Linked DNA regions of Alligator mississippiensis. The protein of the gene in region 1 binds, or shares a complex with, the protein of each later gene. Links are inferred from orthologs where the notes say so. Each region holds a gene or a part of one and is shown on either strand. Other genes may lie near its edges. The genes, in order: SERPINC1 and F9.

Region 1 (11,109 bases):
CTCATCTCCTACTAGTCTTTCCTCATCTCCAAGTGTGAACACCCAATATTAGCAGTATTGATAGTGAGCTTGACATTACTGTCTCCTAAGTTTTACACACTTGTATTATACTGTAAGATGCTTCCCCTTTAAAGAACTACCAGTCTCATTTAGAGCAGTGATCCAAACAGTAAACTGAAGAAAAACCCATCTTGCTAAATGTGAATTCTGAATTTTGTGTTGAAAATGAATCAACATTTCTAAGACACCTTTTGAATGTAGCTATGGTGCTGAAAAGAAATTGTAATTAATAGTGAGTGTACACATGGCCAAGATTATTCATTTCACTTTGAAACTGATGTACTCTGAGTACATTTTAATATGAAAGGTAGGAAATCAAACACTGATCCTAGTTTTCCATATTGCTGCTGTCTTTAATTGCTTGCTTTCTCCCCAAATGATAAATGCTGGAAAGAGGTTTCAAAGCATGAGTTAATTCCAGTCACCCTACAAAGGTTTTGGGTGGACCTTGTTCCAACACAATGTTTCCTGATGTTGCCATGTCATAGCAACAGTTGCAGTGTAGAGGGAAACACCTCTGTATCTCTGAATCATGCCACACTGAATTTCAGAAGCAGTTGATTCTTGTGATACAGATGGACAGTAGATTGGAGGAGAAAGGAGAACATATTTTATAAATATTTTTATAAAAACTTATGAATGGTGAGAGTTGTTTTATGCTGGGGAGCTCTCTGAACACTAAGCAAAGAGGATGGAACATCATTTGATCCCTCCCAGAGAAGTGCATGGAGAACCTGGCTCATCATCTGCCTATGCTGGACTTCCTTCCCAAGAGTCCCCCAGTAGTTTGAACTTTTAAAGCACTGTGCCCAAAATGTTTGGACATGGATGTATAAAGTCTAGCCATATAAATAATTGCCATTCTCCAGAGATTACTGAGTGCTTGCAGGTTCCCAGGAGGCTACTTGAGAAGTTCTCTGGGAGCTGCAAATGCCTGGGAGCTCTGAGAAGTGTGCATCTTTTATTTAGCCGTCTAGCTTCAGGCACTGAAGTCTGAACACTTTGGGCCCACAGGGGTCTGGCATTGTACAGGTTTTTTTGACATCTCGAGACAACCAGTTCTTTCTGGATATGGAATTTTTTGGCCAAAAGTAAAATATTTACAAAAATAAGTCTTGGGAAAATACAGGAAAAAAAAAAAAAGGATGCGATACAGTTTCCCTGAAGAGGAAAAAGTACTAGATATACTGAAATACATGTATGTTTAAAAACAATCCTGTGGAGTTATCTGATGTTTATGGTATAAACTAAAAATTGTTTTCTTTGTAATGTTAAAATAATTTTATTCATAATTTGTAGCAGACAGTACTCACAAGTCTTTGGCATCTGAACTGGATTGTGTACTGGATGGATCCCACAACTGGACGTGTGCACCAAGCTCCATTCTAGATTTTTATTAGGTGTGATGGAAACTTTCTGTGCATGCAAAAAGCAACTTGAGTAGGGAGAGGAGAGAGAACCCCATTCACAACACAGTTGATGCATTGTTTACAATTTATGCCATTGCTTTGCAGCCTCTCCTAAGTGCGAGCTGCTGCAATGTGGACAAAATAGCCCATTAAATGACTCTTAGCTTTTCTAATTTAAGGAGTTTCCATTTCCCTTTGGCCTGTGCTTGCCATGTAAGCAGCTTCTATGCTAAGAGGGGCTTTCCTTGAAGGCTAGCTTACCAGCTGCAGTATAGCTTGATTTTTTTTTTTCTTCTGTTTGTGGTAACTGGTAATAGTAATGTTATGAGCTAGTTCCTAGTTGTATTCAGCTCTGGGGAAGAGGAGAGAGGTGGCATGCAAGAGAACAGAGTTACAGGAGAAAACATGCATGCCAGCACTCATCCCCTCACTTTAAAAGTCACCTGTTTCCAGTTGTGGGATTTCTCTACAAAAGCTTGTTTTCTCTTTCTATGTAAACTTAGTTTTCTTTGATCTTTTTTGGGCTCATACCAGTCTCCCCGAGACATTCTGCAGTCATTATCACCTTTTTGGGTGGAGTTTATTTTATTTTTTTGGTTTGTTTGTTTGTTTTTTAAATAACTTTTAACATTGGTGCATATATGCTTGGGATAGAGCTCATGTAATTTTCCAATCGTATTGATTGTATGTGATTGTGCCCTGCAGAGGTATATTTAACAAAAACAATAAAAATAAAATAAAAAAGGATAGTCTAGGATAATAAAGGAGACCATGAGATTTGAGTCAGGTTATGAATGACTTCTTGAGTTTACTTAGGAATTTGTATAAATAAGGATCCCCATTTGCTGTTCTTATAAAACAGTACTGAACAAACTTTTTTTTTTTTTATTTCCCTCCTCTGTCTTTTGAAGTGATCCCTTTTGACTTTTTTTTTCTCCTTTCCTTCCATTTTCTTCCCATCATAAAAAGGGACAGCTAACTCTATTTACTGAATATTGTGAATATTTATTGTTCTTATCTCCCCAAACACAAGAAGAGTAGAGATTTAAATAAAAGGTGTGAGTGGAATTCCATAAATTGTGAATTCTTTGTGAGCACAGTAGAACATTGAAATCTCATGCATGAAGGCTGGCAGTGGAGGAGATCTTCAAAGGCATGTATGGCAGTTTTTGTATCTTTTGGAAAGTCCTTTTGAGATTACCGAAGGGGGAAACAACAGAGCCTGCTTTATCCTGCTCCAATGGCATTTTGATCCTCCAGTATTTGTGTTTAAACCTTAAGTAAAAACCGTTTTTCACACATTATGCTGAGGAGGGAGGGGATTGGCAGATGGAAAGGCAAGAAAGAGCTCTGGTCTTGAAAGTCATTGTTCCTTGTGATTTCTTTTTTTAAGTATAAGCCCAACACTATCATTTTGTGTTTTAAAAAAATTGTGCATGATTATATAGAAAATGCCATATGTGGAAAAACACCATATGTTGAAATGCTGTTTCTTCCCTCCTCTCTAACTTGCCTTCCTCCCTTTGGAAACTGACTCAGCCTCATGTTACTCCTGCATAGTGTTTAAGGCTCCTATGAGTTGCAGATAAAAAGGATTTATTTTAATTAGTAAAAAGGAGGTGATTCACCTTTCAGTCTGTAAATAGATGGAAGTGTCTACAAGGTCTTATCTGCTTTTCTGTCAGCATTTATATTAAATGATAAATTAATGGCTTACACATTTGAAATATCTCTCATTTTCTCTCTGGATTGCAGTGTGCATTGTGAGCCTCTTGAGTACAGATTTTTCTCCAGAGCAATATATAATCTTTCCTGACCACAGTGGAAAATTAAATGCCTGACAAAAGCACAGAAGCCTGTGTCCCCTTTTTAAAGTCCCCTTCCCTCCCCTACTCCCCCTTTCCTTCTCTGGTTGCTAAGACCTGAAAGCATGCTCAGTGCTAATTTAGTATGAATCCTTTCTTTTTCAATGAAGTGGTTTCCTTGGGCAAGAGGCATGTATATCCACCAGACATGAACAATAAAGTGATCTTTAAGTGGATCCTTTTATTACTTGTTCCAGAAGCCTGCACTTTTAAAAGGCCTGGGACAAACATACCACTTCAAGAAGCGCTGGAACATTTTACCTGTTACATTATGCTTTTTTAGAGTGAGGGGAGTTCTGGCCGCAAGCCTGTTGTGCATGTTTTGATATCCTCTTTTTCTCCTCGCCGTCCTCTTGTCCATTGTTGACATTAGATAGCCTCAGTTGAGTGCAAACTTCAGCCCTTTTGAAGTATGAGGAACATCAGTTGTGGAACAGGTAGCAGCTTCTTCACCAAAAGTTTTGCTTTGCCCACCCCTTCCCATTCAGGAAAAGTCAAGTGTGGCACCCTCAGTGTATGTTTGCCCCAAGATGACCATCTTCCTGTCTAATGTATAAGCTTCTTAACTATGGGGCCAGTCAGTATGGCTGCATTTAAGTTCTCTCACCATCCTGTTTGTTCATAGCCTTAATAACACTTGAGCTGTGTAAGCTCTTGTAGGATGAATAATGTTTACAGTGCAGCGCACAGTGTGGTCCTGTTTTCCCAAATAGTCTGTGAGCCCCAGAGTACTGCAAACACTGCAGTGGTCTGAAGAGTGTGTGCATTTGCACGTGCACTGTTTTCATATACTCCAAATCAGATGGTGAGTTTGTTTGGTCGCTTAGGAAGGCAGTGATGGCTGTTCTGAAAGATTGGCAGCTTTCATGTTTAAAATGCTTTTGACACTTGACTTAGTGGCAGTGAACATTTATTTCCCCCATTTTATGGGTGTAGAAATTAAGGCAGAAGATTTGATAGGGGCAAGGGTCTTATCAAGATGGGACCTATGTCACAGCAAACTAAACTTAGGAATCCAAGTCCTCTGCTGTAGGAACTGGGTCTGCCTACAATTCCCTGCAGATATCCAGCAAAATACACCTAAGGCATGAAACACCATTGAGCATGGCCACCATTTCTACAGCCTCCTCAGACAACCTTAGATGCCTTTTTCTTCCTTCTCTTCAAAAGGAATGACTGAAAGCCTTACAGGTACATTCAGATACTTTCTCCCAAATTCTTGAATGAACTGCAAGCCACCCAGACTAAATTGATCATGGCTCCACTGAAAGTTAACCCAGTTTTCAGATGTGGGGGTGAGGGGAGAACTACAGATACTACACTGCCTTAAAGACTACATTTCCCCCTCTTTGATATCACCAGGGCCAAGTGTACAGGGAACAGAAGGGTGGCCCTATGCAAAGCCTTGTGACACTGACTAGACTAGGCAATCCTAAGTGAATGGTATATGGACTTCCCAACTAACAAGAATGGTACTGGGAGAGACTTGCAACATCCTTCCCTTGGACTGAGCATAGAATAGACCTTAGTGGCAAATAATATGGCTGATACCTCTTGCTCTAAGCTACTAAAATACTAAGGACTGCAAAGATTGAAAATTTTGAGATGACTAGTGCAACAAAGCACCATTACCAACTTGAGGCTACATATTCCATCATGACAAAAATGTCTACTTGATCCACTGACCCAAACAGAACAACTAGTAATGTTTTATTGATGCATTTTTCATATTGGATGCTAAATCAGTGTCTCATCCAGGGATGCAAGTTTTGTGTTGATTCTCTGCCTCCATTTGCTATTTAAAAAAAAAAAAAAAAAAAAGTGCTAGGCACTTGCCACTTAAAAATAAAAAAAATCAGTTTTTGGGTAGAGCAGGGCCTGTATCTCATGGTCCCCTTGACTTAGAAGTTGCCCATGTATGTGTTACATGTGGTAGACTAAATTACTCCAAGTCTGTCTGGCCTGTGCACTGGAATTTTGGAGTCCTACAAAAATTCAGTAGCTTTGTTACAGTACTAGCACTGGATTTTGTATCTACCACCAATGATCTGACAACCACTGGAAGGAATCTGGACATTTTTGTGTATTCCAATATGTATTAAGTCCATCTTTTTTCCCTTTGCTGTAGGAGGGTTGGTTGGAAATTCCTCAGTCATACCAACCTCATTTCCTTGTCCAGTGGGAATCTTCATGTCCAGTGAATTCCCACTTGAAATGTGTGGAGAGGAGCCAAGATGCATTATTTTTTTATTTTTTTTGTTTTGGCTACACTAGAAATGTTTTAATTTGCTGCAGTCCTGATTAAAAGGTTTGCAATGGTCAGTGGAGACCACTAATGTTAAGGGTTCTTAGTCGGACCAGTCTTCTCTAAATCTTCAAGACCTGATGCTCAGCCTCTTGGAAAACTAATCTGGTAGCCCTTTGGAGCCCACTTTCTAGGTTACCTCCACTAAAGTAATCCAGCAAATAGCATAGCGCACCGCCTCTCCTGGGGGAGAGTTTTAAATCAGTGCATGTAAAAGGGTGATCTGTGAGTTGCTCACTTGCTTGACAGCATTATTCTAGTTTGTCTGGTTTTTTGCCAAGATCTCCCTTTTGGCAGGAATAAACACAACTGTGCTTCCTGAGACTGTGGTCTCTTACTTGCAAAACTGGGTGTGTTTCTGGTAGTATCTGGGGAAATAGCTTTTGTGGTTTTTTTGCTGGCCTTTGATGTGAAGACACTGCTGATTGCAGCACTGATACTGCATGGCAAAAATTGGGGCTGTTGTTAAATGATTTACTTCGGGGCGGTATTGGGGGTAGTGACTTCTCATCAGTCATTACCTTCAATGCTTACTGTTTTGTCAGTGACTTTTCCCAGTGTGTATCTACACACCCCTTAACTAATGCATGGCTTAACAGCCACTATTTTTCAGCTATGTGCTCTACAGAAAGTGACTGGGCCCAGTACAGAACCCAGTAGCACGGCATCTCATCAGCAAGAGAGGGATTTTTTTTTCTGGCGCTGACACTTGTGTACAACCCCAACCAAATGGCTCTTTTTTATTTTTCATGAAGTGGTGATTATGATGTTAAAATTACAGAGGAATTGCATCTGCAGTCATTAAGTTACATTTTTCAACACCCAGCTTTCATCAGTGCTGTTTGTGTGTAGCGGGGGGGGGGGGGGGGATCATTATCTTCAGCTTATTAGGTGCAAACTTGGGGACAGGAGCCTGTGAAGGCAAAGCATAGCAATCTTGCCTCTGGTTGTTTTGGGAGGAGTAGGGGAGAGAGTTACTATCCTGAGCTACAGAAGACCAAAATGTCTGGAGAAAGGTGTTTTCTAAATCTGCATTTGAATTATTGAACATTTCTCCCATTGTTTTATCAGCATAGGCTGGGGGGGGGGGGGGGGTAGCAGGCCTGCAGTTTGCCTAGAGAAGTTGATCAAACTTTCTCTCATCAGGTTGAACTTCAAAACTTCTCTTAAATTAAACATTGCTCAACCTTCCCTAGCTGGTCATCCACCTTTGACCCCTGACATCCCACTCTACCTCCTGCCCTCCTGCATTCCTTTTGAGCTCTGGCTAAGTGTACAAACTCAGTGTGGAAGCTAGTACGGACTAGTTTGGACTCCCTTTTATTTTCCCTGAGCTAAAGAAATCCTGTTTACTATCTTGTATCACATCCTCAAGGGAAAGCATTGGAGACACCAGAGGCAGGTAAGAGGACTTAAGTTCCAGTGATGTTTTTTTTGTTTGTTAACCTATCTCCACATGGATTCATTTCCCTTTGTGGGAACTTAGGAACCCCTCACCACTACTTGTATGTTTGTGAGAGTCCTGATTTCTTTGATGGTGTGTTTGATGCTGAGGCTCTCTTTTTGTAGGGTTCTGCCTGGATACCATAGATCTAGGTTGTCATGTCTTGCTTGCTAGAACATCTGCAAAATCTTGGTTTTGAGGAACCATTTCACAGAGTGGGAAGCAGTTCATGTATTAGGGATCCTTACAATTTTCTACTGGCTGATACTCACTTTTTTCTGCCTCACTTAAAGGACTTTCTGGGGGGGGAGGTCCTCCCTTTCTATAAAACATCCCAGAAAGTGAACTTCATACACCAATGGAAGCTCCTCAAATCAAAGCTTACTGGACTCAAGTAGCTCCCCTGGACATGGTCTGGAGAGAACTGTATACTGAGTCCAACAGGTCGTGCTTGCTAGCAAATTAGCCATAGATTTATGTTCAGAGTCGAGGGGGGTTTTTTGGTGATATATAGTTGGGAGAGCTGTTTCAGGCATCAGGTGCCCCTCCAGGTTGTCTAACAGCTCTCCCTACTATACTGTTGATCCAATAAAAGATGCAACAAAAAAGCCTAGTCTCTGTTTCCCGGACTGCCATGCTACAATAACCTTCCAACCCCCATAGGTTTATAACCCTAATGCCTGATGCCCTTTTGTTAGGAGAGAATAATGCTGAGCAAAAGTAACTATTACAGCAGTGGGAAGAGACTAATGTTTGCAGCCTGACTCTGGCACGTACCGTTTGGGGTTGGAGGGAAAAGGTTCTCATTATGCTTCATTCTGGGTGTTGACTTGCCCCTAGGATTCCTTTTACCAGAGACCCCCAAGGATTGACATGGCCCCTTATCCGATTTGGTATCAAGTGAACTTTTAATAGTAACCCCTAGACTTATTACAAGTATTCTTCCTTGCAATATGACCTGCCAAGCAGTTCATTCAGGCTTTACAGCAGTGACCTTTGGTGGTACCGGCCTCAGATCCTCTGCTGGGTGTGCGGGATGTTAGTTTCTGGATTCCTCGTTCAAACAAGAAGTCCAAAGTTGTTCCTATTTCCCCAGAGTGGCAACACAATACATGTGTGTTCCTTTGTTTGTCCATCACTTCTGTAACTACTCTCCTCCCAAATTGTCCAATCCCTTGGCTTCGTGCCAAGCATTCCTTATATGGTGCACCAGTCCCCTGGCACTGTGCTAGCCGCATTCCTTATAGGGAAACTGCTGTCCCTTGCTTGCCTGCTGCCCAGTCTCAGCCCTCACATCTCCCAGCACCACAGAAGGCCCTCTGTTCAATTGTGTTGCTTAGTTCTGGAAAGGCCTGGACTATGGCTAAAAGCCTTAGCATAACTCAGTTTCCCTGCTACATTGACTCTACTAAGCTTCCCTATTAATAATGCAGGAGACTGCCTGAAACTGCAATGTTGAGCTGACTCAGTAATTCACTGCCTTCCTCCAGGACTGGGTTAGAAAGAAAGAAAGCAGATTTAAAAAAGTTGTATGTACTTCATTCTCTTGCCAGAATCCAGTCAACATAAAAGCATTATATGCCTTTCTAAAACACTTAGTCCTGTAAGAATTTCAAAGCACTCTCTAACTTCTATATGCAGTGCAGTCTCTACAGGGATGGACTCTGCTCATCAAACAGCAATTAGCACATCAGTGGAAGAAGAAGGGATATACTTTGCCAAGCTTTCCAGGGCAGATTATTGTCTGAAGTGATCAGGGATCATTCACTGTACATGACAAATCTCACCTCTGGGAAAGATTTTTTTTCCCCTGAGGTTTCATCTGTATCAGGTGTTCACAATAGCTGAACAGCCACGTAGTACACACTTTGTAGTTATGATGTATGAAAGGCCAAGCTAAGTCAACCCTGCTGACACTCGAAAAGGTTCCTGGAAAGTGTCTAGGCATGAAATTATCTGCTTCCCCCCTCCCCCACCTCGGGTTTGAAATTAGTGGACGTTTTACCTCTCTTCTTCAGCGCTTCATCATCCCAAACCTTTAGCTAACATATATGATTCCATATATGCAACACAACCATGCAGGAGAACTTTGGGGAGGATTGAGAAACTTTTTCTCCCCCTAATCTACTCTATGCAGTTAATCCAATAAAAGATATTGCCCAAAGAAACGCTGGGTTAGGACAGCACTTTCCCCTATATCTGTTATTGAATTGCTGTTAATCATATGTGTTCTACATCTTGTGCAACAACTGGACACCAGGCACTGGGCCATTGTTTTGGCAAGCTCTGTTTTTGCTCTGGGACTCTAGCTTGACAGGTAGAAAACATCAAAGAAAGTCCAGACAGCCTATAGACAGACATATATATAGAACAATTCAAATTCTGCCTTTTTGAAAGCACTTTTTTTGCAGCATTTCAGTAGCATATCATTATACAGCTGCCTCCCAGTGATAGCATCACTGTGAAGCACTTCAGAGTTATTCCTGTTTCACTAAGAGTCATTTTATAGAGTTCTGACTAATTTATAGCACTATGACACAGAGTCATCTATCTGATCAATATCTATAGTGCCATATGGACATCTGTCCATACTTCAAGTTATACAACAGGCACCCTTTGTATAAAAGGAGAGGTGTGCAAGCCTTTCCAAAGGGAATTTGAATTTCCACCTTCATAGACAGCTGTTTGAGCTATGTATGTTATTTCACCACTGCAAGATATTTCTAGCTGCCTGTCCATCAGTCCCACTTCCAACATCTGGAAAGCCCAAACCAGGATAGCATCCTTGACATGGATTACCTTACTCCATAACCTAACCTGTAGGTAGAATTGAAATGAGAGGATGACACTGAGGAGCCTATTCGGAGTGATGGCTTCCAGAGCAGGGCTCCCACCTGGATTGTAACATTTCTTTCTGGTTTCAGGAGGATGCATCTCTTTGTGGTGTTGATCATCAGTATGTGGGGAGCAGTTGCTCCCCAGCAACATCGGGTGGAAGACATCTGTACCGCAAAGCCAAAGGACATTCCTGTGAATCCTATTTGCATTTACCGTAACCCTGAGAAGAAACCACAGGAGGGCGAAGGGCCAGAGGCAGATCAAGCCAAGGATAAGATCCCAGAATTTACTAACCGTCGGGTCTGGGAGTTGTCAAAGGCCAACTCCCGCTTTGCCGTTATTTTCTACAAGTACATGGCAGACTCCAAGAGTGACCAGGGAAACATCTTCATGTCGCCCCTCAGTATCTCCACAGCCTTTGCCATGACCAAGCTCGGTGCCTGTGGTGACACTCTCCAGCAGCTTATGGAGGTCAGTGGCATCTCCTCAGTTTCCAAGTCCTTGTGGTTTAAGTTAGAACAAAGATGCCAAATGCTAGCTGCTTATAATAAAGCTCTCTCTTTTAATGGCTCCTTTGCTCAGATCACCTCCTTTGTAACCCCAGCTTTTGAGAGACAGACCCTTCTGCTAAACAGGTCTCTGACAAGGACCCTTCTGGAGGATGACCCAGACTACTTCCCTCTGGGTTTCTGTAATCCAAACCCTTCTCCAGTGATCCAAGTAGATTCTTCTGGTGCACATGCTGATGCATAGGTTATAGCCTCCATCTGGAGGAGAAGAAACCTGCTTTGGATGTGAGGAAGGAAGGTGAATACTTTTTTCTTCTGGACCTAGGCAGTTAGATGAGCAGGGATAGGCCTCTACACAGGAAGCTGAGGGAAGCCAATCAGACCTTGGAGCAGGGTTTGTGCTAAAGGCCCCCTATTTCCACCATCCTTATGCAGAAGTCGAAGTGTGGGATGTTCTTATTGAAATAAGTGCAAAAATGCAGCTGGAACAATGCAGTCCCTGGTTTACGTGGGATGAGGAGGAAGGGATGGAACAGAGACCCCAGGCTGAACTTTTTGTTTAGACAAAAGCCCCATCAATAAATTAACAGCACTGGTTGTTCTTTGCAGGAGGCTCACCTCCTGACCTCCAGGACTTTGCAACAATGGGGAGATATGTAGTCCTTGTCTATCCTACCAA
Region 2 (10,898 bases), on another chromosome or scaffold:
TCTCAGTTAATGAAAAGTTATATAGCATAGCTGTCCTAGAGGGCAAACGCAAATTGATTCATTTTTAACAAAAAAAAAGTGTTTAGCTAAAGAGCAATCTTTTAATAGGCTCTTCATTTCAGCAGGCTCTGTGCACATTTGATCAGTGTAGTCAAAACACAGCAGAAGAGCTAAGGATTAAAATGGAAATAATTCTCCTGTGCTGTCTTGTTATAACTTAATTTCTCTTTGCAATGGAGATGCACAGTGCAAGGCCCATTGCCTCAAAGAAGCAGCGACTCAGAGTTGAGTGCAATTGTGCATTGCTGCTCGTCAAGATAATTGTTCCCATCGCTCACTAGCATTTCTCAGAGGGCAAGGTGTACATTCCTAGAACATCAAATCCAATATATCAGCCCAAGACCTGCCCTCACCAACAACTGTGCAGGCAAATTCAAGACAGAATATTATGGGTATAGCTGGGTCACAGCCCTGAGATCTGTTCTACTCCCACCGAAGTTAACTGGATGAACTCCTGTGGAGTCCACTGCTCCTTTCCTTCCTCAGCTGCAATTCCACTGTGGTCAATCAAACAACACTAGAGAGAGACTGCTCTGGGTATGAAGAGACCCAGACCCATTTTCCTTACTAGCTGCCAGAAAAGACCTTGTGAAGGTAGTCAAAATCTAGCTCATGAATGGCACAGAACATTGGTTGGAAAATGAAGAGTTATTACAAGGCAGTCAGCAAACATGGTCCACTCCTTCACCCAGAACTTCAGCTAGGAGAAGAACACTGTCTCAGGGGCTTAATTCCCCCCAGGTAAGCCTCATAGGTGGGTATCTGATAAAGCAGGGATGGGATTTTCAAGTTTTGCTACCCAGCAGGTCCCTCGGGTTATATTATGCCATTTTTTTGGAATCACTCAGTGACCAACATGAGCTCTGCTGCAAGTCTAGCTTCAATTTTTGATGACGACTCCACCTTTCTGAAGAAAATTGTGGCCTTACAATTTTTTCCAACAGGACTGAACCCCTATGCTCTCTTCCTGCAATGGGGAAGTCTTCTACCGACAGGAAAGGGAAAATTCAAGGAAGCCAAGTTGCCATGGAGGCTAGCAAGGTTGCAATGGTCACTGGTGGCATAGTGGAAATACAGGCACACATTCATAGATGTTAGGGGCTGGAAGGGACCTTGCATTGTCCAGCCCCCCTGCACTAGGCAGGGGATACAACTGGGGTCAGATGCCACAAATTTCCTGGGATTTCTAAGTTGAGGGGGTCAATATTCCTTCCTATTGCATTCATGCCTGGGGAAAGCCCTCTTCACCTTAGTTTCATCTCCATCCAGTGTGAACTCCACAGGGGAAATCCTGACCTGCTGGAAATCAATGACAAAAAACTTTTGTGGACTTCCCAGCAGCCAGGATTTCCCTCTACAGGTAGAAGAGGGACTCACATGGATGAATATGGCCCCTTAACTATAGAGATTGCACTTTCTTCTCTTCCACATCCTAATGACTTTCAGCACACACATCCGTCTCTGAACTCTCAACGGGAATTCAGAGAGGGATGTATACAATACGGTTTGTATACTTTAAAGCAATGTTTCTCAACCTTTGGGTTGCAACCCAAATACATGGAAGGGTCATGAACAAACTTTAAAAATGGATTCTCCTTTAAAAAGGAGAAAATTGTGAGAAACTGCAGGTTTTCCTTATAGGCTGGCAGAGCTCCAGCCTGCAAGGGGCTGCTTGGGGACCCCTTACGCCCCGTGCACCCACTCCCTGCCCAACACAGTGGGGAGCTGGGGCAGGGGGCTGCAGGCTGGGAGTGAGGGGCACCAGGTCAGGACTGGTCATTGATGTTTACAAATGGGTCCTGGTACAAAAAAGGTTGAGAAGCACTCTTTAAAAAAGGAATACAACAGATTCCAACACAGATCTTGAATAAAGTAGACTTTAATCACAAAAGTCAAATCTGCAAAATCCCTGAATGTCTAAAATAGTAGTAGGAAGCAAGCAGATATCAAGAGGACTTAGATAAGGTATGTTACGACATTAAGGAAGCCCATTGAAACTAGTCTGGGTGAGAACATCGCAGACCAAATAGTTTTCCATCAAAATACGCTATTACTTCAGCAGTGCCAAAACATTTCTGCGAGACTTCAATTCCAACAGCCGTTGACAAGACTGTTTCGGAGGACTGGTCAGTCCCAGTGAGAGCTCCAAATAGCAAGCCTGACCTTTTCAATCTGAAAATGGGCTTGACAACCAAGTTGCATTTTGCAAAAAACAGTGGAAAGTTGTTGATGTGCCAAGGAAAAGCCCAAGTAGGAAACAGATTTATTCAGCCAGCTCTAACAAGTTCCAAGAACGCAGTACTTAATTTTGAATTTTAAGTAGTCCCCCTTTGAGAACGTTAATATTATAAATCTGAATTAAGCTGGATCAATATTTAATTTCGGTAATCCAACATCACAACAATACTTTCTTCTCCAAAGCATTTATTGAGGGCTGATCCCAGCACTGGGAACTGTTTGCAACAGAAACACAGAGGAAACTCTTTGTTAGCATTGGATACCACAAAGATGGAGAGCGGTAGCAGCAGGCTCTAGGCTTGGACATATTAATGGCCTTGTTTGTTCCAATTGTGCAGGCATTTTCTTTTAGATTAAATAGCATTAATGTTGCAGATCTTGCTAGCACCATAAAAAACAGAAATAATTTACCTGTCCTGTGCTGTTGTGAAAAAAAATGCTGTAGAATGATAATCTAATTTTGCTTGGTTTGTTAAAGCAGGCTACTCTCCACTTTCCTTTTATTGATCCAAGGCATATTATTTCACTATTTCATACCAGTTTGCTTCTTTCCCCGCCTCCCCCCATCACATTCACATGTATTCATATGCAAGAAATGAGAAATGGCCTTTACCCTCTACTTTGCATTGCATTTCCATCACAACGGTACAAGTGCATAGTTACTCCAAGGTAGCTTCATCGCAGATACATGAACGCATCTTTCCTCCTCTACCTACAGTAGCAAATCTGTAACACTCCCTCTGAAACGGCGTGCCTGCGGCAAATGCAAACTATTTCAGATACTGTAAAACAAAGCAAGATAAAAATGTTGCCTTTCAAAAATAAAGAAAGGATTCCTTTTTTCTTGGCAAAGCATAAGAGAGCTTATAAACCCATAGCTCAAGTGGAGGCCTCTTGTTTTAATCTGCCATTTATCAGTCCTTTCTTTGTACAAAAAGTGATTCCCAAACACCTACACAACCATAAATGTCCCTCATATGCTTGGGGAAGGACCATTTGTTACATTTTGCAGGCACCGTGAACAGAATTTATGATTTGTTAGCTCAAACACATACTTTTCCAGACACTCGAGAGGCAAAGTCTCAAAGCAAGTAACGGCCCATTCTCTACCCTGCAGGATACAAGCTGATCCAATACTTTACATATTTCGTTTCATACTGAATCAAGCTGGCTGCTTGTAAGCACTCATGGGGTGAAACATGCTGCAGGATTATATTGTGGTGTCAAAAATAAAATATCCATCTCTTCTGGAAACCCCCCCCCCCCAAAAAAAACAACAAAAACAGTGAAGCCTGTTAAATCCCCTCTTCAAGCTCCTCTCCTTTTATAAATCATCAGATGATGAGCTTCAGTCCACTATCATCACTTAGCTCTTCCCGTCTCAAGTAAAGGATATGACAATTACACAATAATTTATCCCAGTTTTTACTGAACGGCAAACTTTACTTGATAGAAAGGATCACACACAAAGCTCTCTCCCAAGCTGTAGGGACTATTACACTGCCTGGCAACTAGGTGATAACCCTGGGATCAAACTGACCGAGGCTAAAAAAAGACCTTGGTTATCCTGGGTCCGACTGTCCCGAGCTTTGACTTGCATCAATACAGGCAAGGGCCGGTCATGACATGCATGGCAATTAACTCAAATCAACTGAATTAATTGAATGGCAGCTAACTCAAATTACTCCCTCCACCCTTGTCCAAAAGGTGCAAAGACAAAAGAAGAGGGGTGTTCCTTGTACCCACAACCAAGGCTGGGTTTCAAAGCTGGTATCTCGGTAGATAAAAGTAGGCAACTGTCTGCCAGTCCTCTGGATCATGGTGTATGTGTAAGCAGTCTAGTTGGATGCCCGATGTATCTGCTCGTATGGAGTCCTGTGGCCACCACACCAAGACCTTTGATGCGTATGCCTAGGCAAGAGTATGGAGGTTGCCCATCTCTCCTTTAGACCTTAGAGACGGAGCCCAAAGGCAAGATTGAGTCCAGATGTTCAGTGCCTTGATGGTTGTACCTTCTGCCAGACAGCAACAGATAAGAACTGCTGCCGACTGCCTAATTCCTCAGTGAGGACATGTTTCTGGCAGGATGACATCCCTTAACCTTTCTCCAACCAAGGAGCACCCACAAGGCAGTGGGGGCTAGGACCACTTCAGTGAACAGTGCTGGCAGAGGAGATAAGGTGAATAGTGCCAGGGTTAGGAACCATTTACAGAATAACAGTCCCCCTTCCACCTCCAGCCCTGCCCCATCTATCCCTGCCTTTCGGCCGTCTTCTTCAGGGACTGCATCACGTGCCTCAAACCCTAGCTGGACCAGGTTCATTGAGAGCCCCATTATGTTGTTCTGGGGTGAAATCCTGGCCCCGCTGATGCCAGTTCAGATGTTGCCAATGCTTTCCAGGGGGCCAGCTCTCATCTGGATGGGCCAAGTATCACCCTTTGTTTCACATGGTCAAGTGAACCTTGCTCTGCCTGGTTGACTGAAGCGATCGCATATTCCTCTGGCCTGGGCTCAGTTTCATGCGCTTGCTTCACAGCATGTTTCCAAAATACGCATTTCATTTCCATGTACTGCTAGCAACACCACGAACACAGAGATCAAGCTATTCAAATAAACCTAGTCGTTTAGGCTAGGGACAGAAGTTACACATAAACCAGTATAAGTGATCAGAAACCGGTTCCAATCTGTAACTCAACAGAAGTTCAGTGCACATGAACTGCTTTCATAATGGCTGAAACTGGTTTATGATAAACCAGGAGAGATGTAGTATCAGACTGAACCAATTTAGGTTAAATTGGTTTATTGAATGTCTGTTCCCGATCTTACTGGAGCCGGATTCACTACACCCGATGTGAACTATTTTTCTTCTTCAAGCCAGTCTCAGTCCCCTCCCCAGCAGGGACCATCCCAAAGGAGAAACAACGGAAATGCTACAAGAAACCTATTCAGAGCAAGCTTGCTGTGGTTGCTCCTCATTTCGAGACCCCTCTGCCATTTCAGAGTCCTCACCTGACGCATGTGTGGGAACCTTAAATTAAAGGGTTACTCAAAGCAAGCAAACAAGCGCTTGCACTTTGGACCGGATCGACCCAGCCTCTCTGTGTGCACAAGTTCCTAGCAGAAAGGGTTGCGTTGTGCAAGACAAAAAAAATGGCAAAACTCACTCTCTCAGTCTCCGTTTGTCTTCTGGGATTGTTTCTTCAGGCTGAATGTTCAGGTTGGTTGTTTTAAACCTACCAAGTCCTTTGCTTTTTTTTTTTTTTTCTTTCTTTTGCTGCTGACATAGATAAAAGCACATTGTGTCATTTGATAAGGGAGAGTTTACCAGCAATAAGAAATTGCGGAGTCAGGCTGCTGAATTTGATTGGTTTTCCATTTCAAAATGCAGCTCTTGAGAACAAAAAAAATTGGATTTTTTTTTTTTTTTATGGTGATGAAATTAAGCCCTTGGGTCCTTTTTACTTAAAGAATGGGACATTCCAAGCACCATTATGACTTTGTGCTAAGGAATTGCTCTAGATTCAGTCATTTTTAATACTAATGAAAAAAAAAAAGAGATTTACAAATTAGCTTCCAAACCCTTTGTGTATTTGAATCTGGGAACGAACAGACTGAGTAATACTGAAGCATATAAAATACTCATTGGATTTCCTGTTTGAAGGTTGTTAAATGCCACATGCAGACCAAATTAAGAAGCGAAAAAGAAGGGCAAGTGGTGTTTGTTAAGCGGTTCCGACGACTAACCATATTACCCTGAGCTGGTATCCAGTTCTGCATGATCTAAATTACTTGAATTAATGCACATTCAAATCAGAGGAAGGTGTTTGGTTCCTACAAGGATAGCCTTTTTGTTCAGAGCTCAGCAGGGTTCCTGAGAATGAATGCAACTGGAGTAAATACATGGGGAGTCTGCTACAGCATCTCTCATTTGGGAGTAGAAACTCTACCAACAGCATTGGTTGTTGAAAAATTCTACTTTAATCTGTTTTTTGGGTTTTTTTTTTTTAAACTAAGCAAAACCCCTATCATTGCTTTAACAGGAACTCCAACTCTCCCAGGCATTCAAAAGTAGTGAGTTGCTTTAAACAATCAAGAAACAAAACTTTCCTATGAGCCATCATTGTACAGGGTGGATCAAGGCCAAATATTTCGGCTCCAAACCTAGTTATCAAAGGGGAACCTATAGGTCAAAAACTCTTCAGAAAGGCCTGGGGAGACGCACGAATGGGCACAATCCTGCTTCCTTTTGAGAGGTACAGACTATGAAGGAAGATAAGAGAGAGAGGGAGACCAAGCCCCTGATGTTGGGGGGCAGCAGGCTGTTCAGACAACCCAGAATTGATGGGTGGTCCTGTTTTATGGCTGTAAACGGTGTAGCAGGCAGAGCCAGAGGAGAGAGACCTTTACTGAGTGCTGGCTAGATTGCTTCTGGTACGTGAGCTCCCTTGCATATCCCTACCCTGCATTAAACTCTGCAGCATAGACATACCCCAGCATGTTTGCTAGAAACCTAACTGCCCCCTTGTATTCCTTAATCGGCAGGCATCCCACCAACCAAGGTCCCTCATGAAACCCGGCCCCCTTTCTGCAATCCCATGCATTCATTCCAAGACTTGCATGATGTCCTTTCCACCTGCCCCCTCTCCCTCCCCATGGGCTTGGTTTAGCCAGGGAATGTGTCAGTAATAGTGAAAGGGTTGAGCAACGAGCATGATCTTATAAAAATGTCGGTGTTGATAGTGAGCATAGGCAAGAGAACTGTTGGGCCAAAGAGCAGACTTCCCTACTAGGAAGAAGGATGCACCATCTGGCAGCTGCTGGGCAGGACAGGAAGACAGGAGAGCGGGGATCTGTTTCACCTGAGTGACTGAACGCCTCTCTTTCCCATACTGCAATGTTGAATTGAGGCTAGGTTAACCCAAATTGCCTTTGCATTTGGAGTACGAGCTGGTCAAGAGTTACACAAATCAACGGTCAAAACTTCAGCTCCAAGAAAAGAAGCGAACTACTTTTCGATCCTTCTCCCAAATGCAAAGAGCCGTTGCTATCAGAAGGTTACTAGCCAAAGAGGCACAATTCTCTGGTAGCTATGAAACTGGCTGCTTCGAAGAACAATTTGTTGCTCTATTAATATCCAAGGTCACATGCTTCCATCAAGATCAATTTTTTAATGCTCGCTGTGCCCATTTTGATGTTTTCAGTTGAAAGCAAGTATCGGTGCAAGAAATGAGAGAGTAACCTTGTATGAACTAAGTTTAAGTAATAAGAACAACTGGGACTGCCACTTGCAGGAAGTTACATGGTACGAATCCAGAATACTTCCACTGGAGTTCACTGCAGTTATTTCTAGAGTAAGATGTTAGCTGAGTTAACGGGAGTTTTTTCCGGCATGATTTCCAAGGGCTTTGGATCAACTCCACTCTGCTGATCTCATTTAGAGCCTAACAGCCACTCTTTGAAGTCTCCTCCTGCTTCTCTCACCGAGCTTCTTCTCTTCAACTCTCCAATGGCGCAGAATATTCATGCAAAAATCTGTTCTAGCACAAACCTTTTATGTAGACAAGAAAGTACATGAAAATGTTGAACCGTAGATATAATGACCAACTTCCACGCTACGTAGAGCTGCTCTACAGTACCTTCCAGCGACAGTGAGAGGCTCTAAGGGCTTTCCCTGTACATCTGTTATTAGTAACAAGGAGGAGCCTTGAGAATCGGACTGCAAAGTACTTGATCAACAACTTGCTCTCGTTTAGTAACAGCTGTTAACACACAAAGAGGTCATACATGCCGGAGGTAGGGATAGTCATGGTAAAATAGTTCCCTGGTGGTTAGTACTTTGGAAAAATTGGTCAAGAGAGCCATAGTTAGCCATGTTAGTCTGAAGTCAAGTTGAAGGTAGGACAGACTTGTACCTTAGATGAACCAAAGTGGATATATCTCTACTTCAGCTCACAAAAGCTTGTGCTATATATCATCTAGTTTGAGTAGTCCAAGGTGCAAATCTACTCTGCCTTCAAAAAATGGTCAGGGACAGTGTTTGGATGGAAAGGACTTTCACTTGGTCTAAAAACAAGTTGTATTCCTTTGGCTCCATTACACCATAATTATACCAGTATAAAAATGTGATCGTAATAGTATGGCTTATCCCATACAGGAAGATAAATAAGCCTTATTGACTTGAGTTTGTCATGAGATGTTTGGTTTTTTTTCCTTCCAATGGTGTACTCCTGGTCTGTGCCCTTATGTTACAATTACTATGGCTATATCTCAGAGCTCAGAACAGACCCAAAGAAAGGACTCAAAGCTCAGAACAGACCCAGAGTTATGGTAAAAGCCCTCTTCCTGAATATGTAATTACAATTTCCCTAAGCTAGGGAAGAGAATGTATCATAATGTATTTTTTTATATTGTAGTTTTTATCGATAACCAACAAGCAAGCTCAGTTTTGCCTAGGCAAAAGAGGTTCAATTCCAAAAGGCTGGAGGAGGTTGTTTCAGGGAACCTCGAGAGGGAATGCATCGAAGAAAAATGCAGTTATGAAGAAGCACGAGAAGTTTTCGAAAACGAGGAAAAGACGGTGAGTATTGTTACTGCAGAGCAACAGAAACATCACTTCTGTCCTGCTAGTCGTGGTGAGGGTAGTGCAGGGGAAGGAGAAGGTGTACTTCCCTTCGTATGGGAGAAAAACCCATATATTTTCTAAAAGCCGCCATTTGCCTCTGTATGAAAAATATTGGCTGCCCTTATGCCCACTTGAGTCTTATCTAAGCCTTTATAGCTAAGCTGGTCCCTTTCATTAGGGGGATTTCTGCCCTCAAAGATTTTACCTGCTAGTCCTTTATCCTCTTTATTCATTCTGTAGTTCAGTTTTGAAAAGAAAAAAAAAGAAACAATGAGATTAATAATATTGTTTTTTCTTTGTAGATGGAGTTTTGGAAAGGGTACCTTGGTAAGAAATTTGCTTCTTTCACATTTTAAAACCTAGTCGTTCTATAATCATGTCTCAGCATATGCCCAGGTCACAAGAGAGACAGATGTCCTTTGAAAGAACATTTCCTATTGTTTGAAACCCAGCTTCCATTAGAACCAGTCAGCGTTCTTCATGCCAAGTATAACGAGTTGGCATTTGTGTGTCCTGTTTACAGATAAAACCCAAAATAAGAACAGGTTGCAAAAGGCTCTATAGAGGAAGACTCTTCCACAGACTATTTCCTGTTCATTTGGTGCAACCGGTCAGGTAGCAGGCTGCAAGTTTTAGCCATCTGGCTGGGATAGAAGATGTGAACACAGCGGGTAGCCAATAGCAAAAGCCCTCTTTCACGTGCAAATAGCCACTCACTAAATGTGCATGTGAGCACAGCACAATTGCTAGAAAACAGCTTATTAAAAAAAGAGCTTGACTGTTCAAAGCAAACAGCAGCCTGAAATTCAAACTAGTGTCCACAAACTTGGACATTTTTTTTTTACACTTCATTTTTTACTGATGATCTATTTCTTCACTCCTTGGTCTCCATCCACAAACTACCCCAATAATCCCTACTCCTCCACCCACAAAAAAGGTTTCAGTGCACACTAAACATCTGAAACTAATTTTAACAAGATATGCTTTAGCAAACGAGTTTCTTTGTAGATTGGCTGAGCTCCCAGAACATCTCACTAAAAAAAGTCTTAAATAATTCAGATTAGTCTGTCCAGACTATAAAATAAAAAGTTACATTTGCATTTTAAGATTGTCCTCTGGAAAAAAAAAAAAATGGTGGTACTATAACTTGGCTGCCATGGTTTCTTTCCTTAGAGCTGAAGAGTCACCTTTCCAAAAAGCATCTCCTCCATTTAACAATGGACACCTCTTTTTGCTAAACTCACAAGGTGCCATTAGCAGTATCGTAGCCTGTAGATGAAATTTGCTCCTTGCAAAAGGGTAGCTCAAGACCATGCGATCATGTAAGCCCCTTTTTGAAGCTATAGGAGATAGCTGTCTTTTAGTGACAGGTGGTCAACATCTTCAATCCTTGATCAACGCATGCTGCAGTGTAAACTGCTCCAATGAACTTGTAGAATCCGACCTATTTTTGCCACCGGTTTGTTAGAGCAGGTAACACTGCTTTGGTTTAACTGCCCTAGCAACAAGGCAACAAAAATTCAGTCCCTAGTGCCCAAGCTGGACATAATTACATTTTGCCCCTACTCACTTTGTCATCTCCCTTCTACCTGCCCATTCTAAAGCTGCATTAACAGCTGAATTTGCTGATGCGATGTGAATACCATTCTTCTTTCCCCTTGGGCCTTGGCTATTTGTAACAAGGCTCCACTCCAGGGGTGGTCATTGATGCCCATGGACCCCGCCTCAGCCCTTATCAACTTCACTCTCTTTGGGCAAACACTCCTTCTCTCTCCTGCCATGCCTTGATGTACGCATCTTTCAGATACAGGAAGGCTGCCCCAAGGCTTCCCAACTTTGATCTTGGGAACTTGGGTGTCTCCACTCTCCACTTTAAGGGTTAATTATGTGGCTTTGACCACCCTTTATACCATGCCCATGCCTCACAGATGATGCTCATTCCAGCTAGCACATGCCCCTCCTGGGCTACCAGCTCCC

What was found.
Region 2: the proteins of SERPINC1 (region 1) and F9 are in contact, whole or in part, in a crystal structure (PDB 3KCG), measured with the Homo sapiens proteins. The link is inferred for Alligator mississippiensis from reciprocal best matches to the Homo sapiens genes SERPINC1 and F9. Residues at the interface, in NP_000479.1 of Homo sapiens: Glu264, Asn265, Arg267, Glu269, Met283, Met284, Tyr285, Glu287, Met347, Val349, His351, Val420, Val421, Ile422, Ala423, Gly424, Arg425, Ser426, Leu427, Asn428, Pro429, Asn430, Arg431; in NP_000124.1 of Homo sapiens: Lys247, Val248, Asp249, Ala250, Phe251, Cys252, His267, Cys268, Glu270, Glu285, Tyr312, Arg358, Phe360, Lys362, Gly363, Arg364, Ser365, Leu367, Lys387, Phe388, Asp405, Ser406, Cys407, Gln408, Gly409, Asp410, Ile429, Ser430, Trp431, Gly432.

The regions. Positions count from the first base shown.
Region 1 is NC_081828.1:47,940,099-47,951,207, reverse strand, and holds the start of SERPINC1 (antithrombin-III), read left to right. Parts: upstream 1-6,787; 5' UTR 6,788-7,041; intron 7,042-10,007; 5' UTR 10,008-10,011; coding exon 10,012-10,392; intron 10,393-11,109. UniProt on the Homo sapiens protein: Most important serine protease inhibitor in plasma that regulates the blood coagulation cascade. AT-III inhibits thrombin, matriptase-3/TMPRSS7, as well as factors IXa, Xa and XIa. Its inhibitory activity is greatly enhanced in the presence of heparin.
Region 2 is NC_081831.1:78,787,697-78,798,594, reverse strand, and holds the start of F9 (coagulation factor IX), read left to right. Parts: upstream 1-5,423; 5' UTR 5,424-5,449; coding exon 5,450-5,516; intron 5,517-8,712; coding exon 8,713-8,876; intron 8,877-9,223; coding exon 9,224-9,248; intron 9,249-10,898. UniProt on the Homo sapiens protein: Factor IX is a vitamin K-dependent plasma protein that participates in the intrinsic pathway of blood coagulation by converting factor X to its active form in the presence of Ca(2+) ions, phospholipids, and factor VIIIa.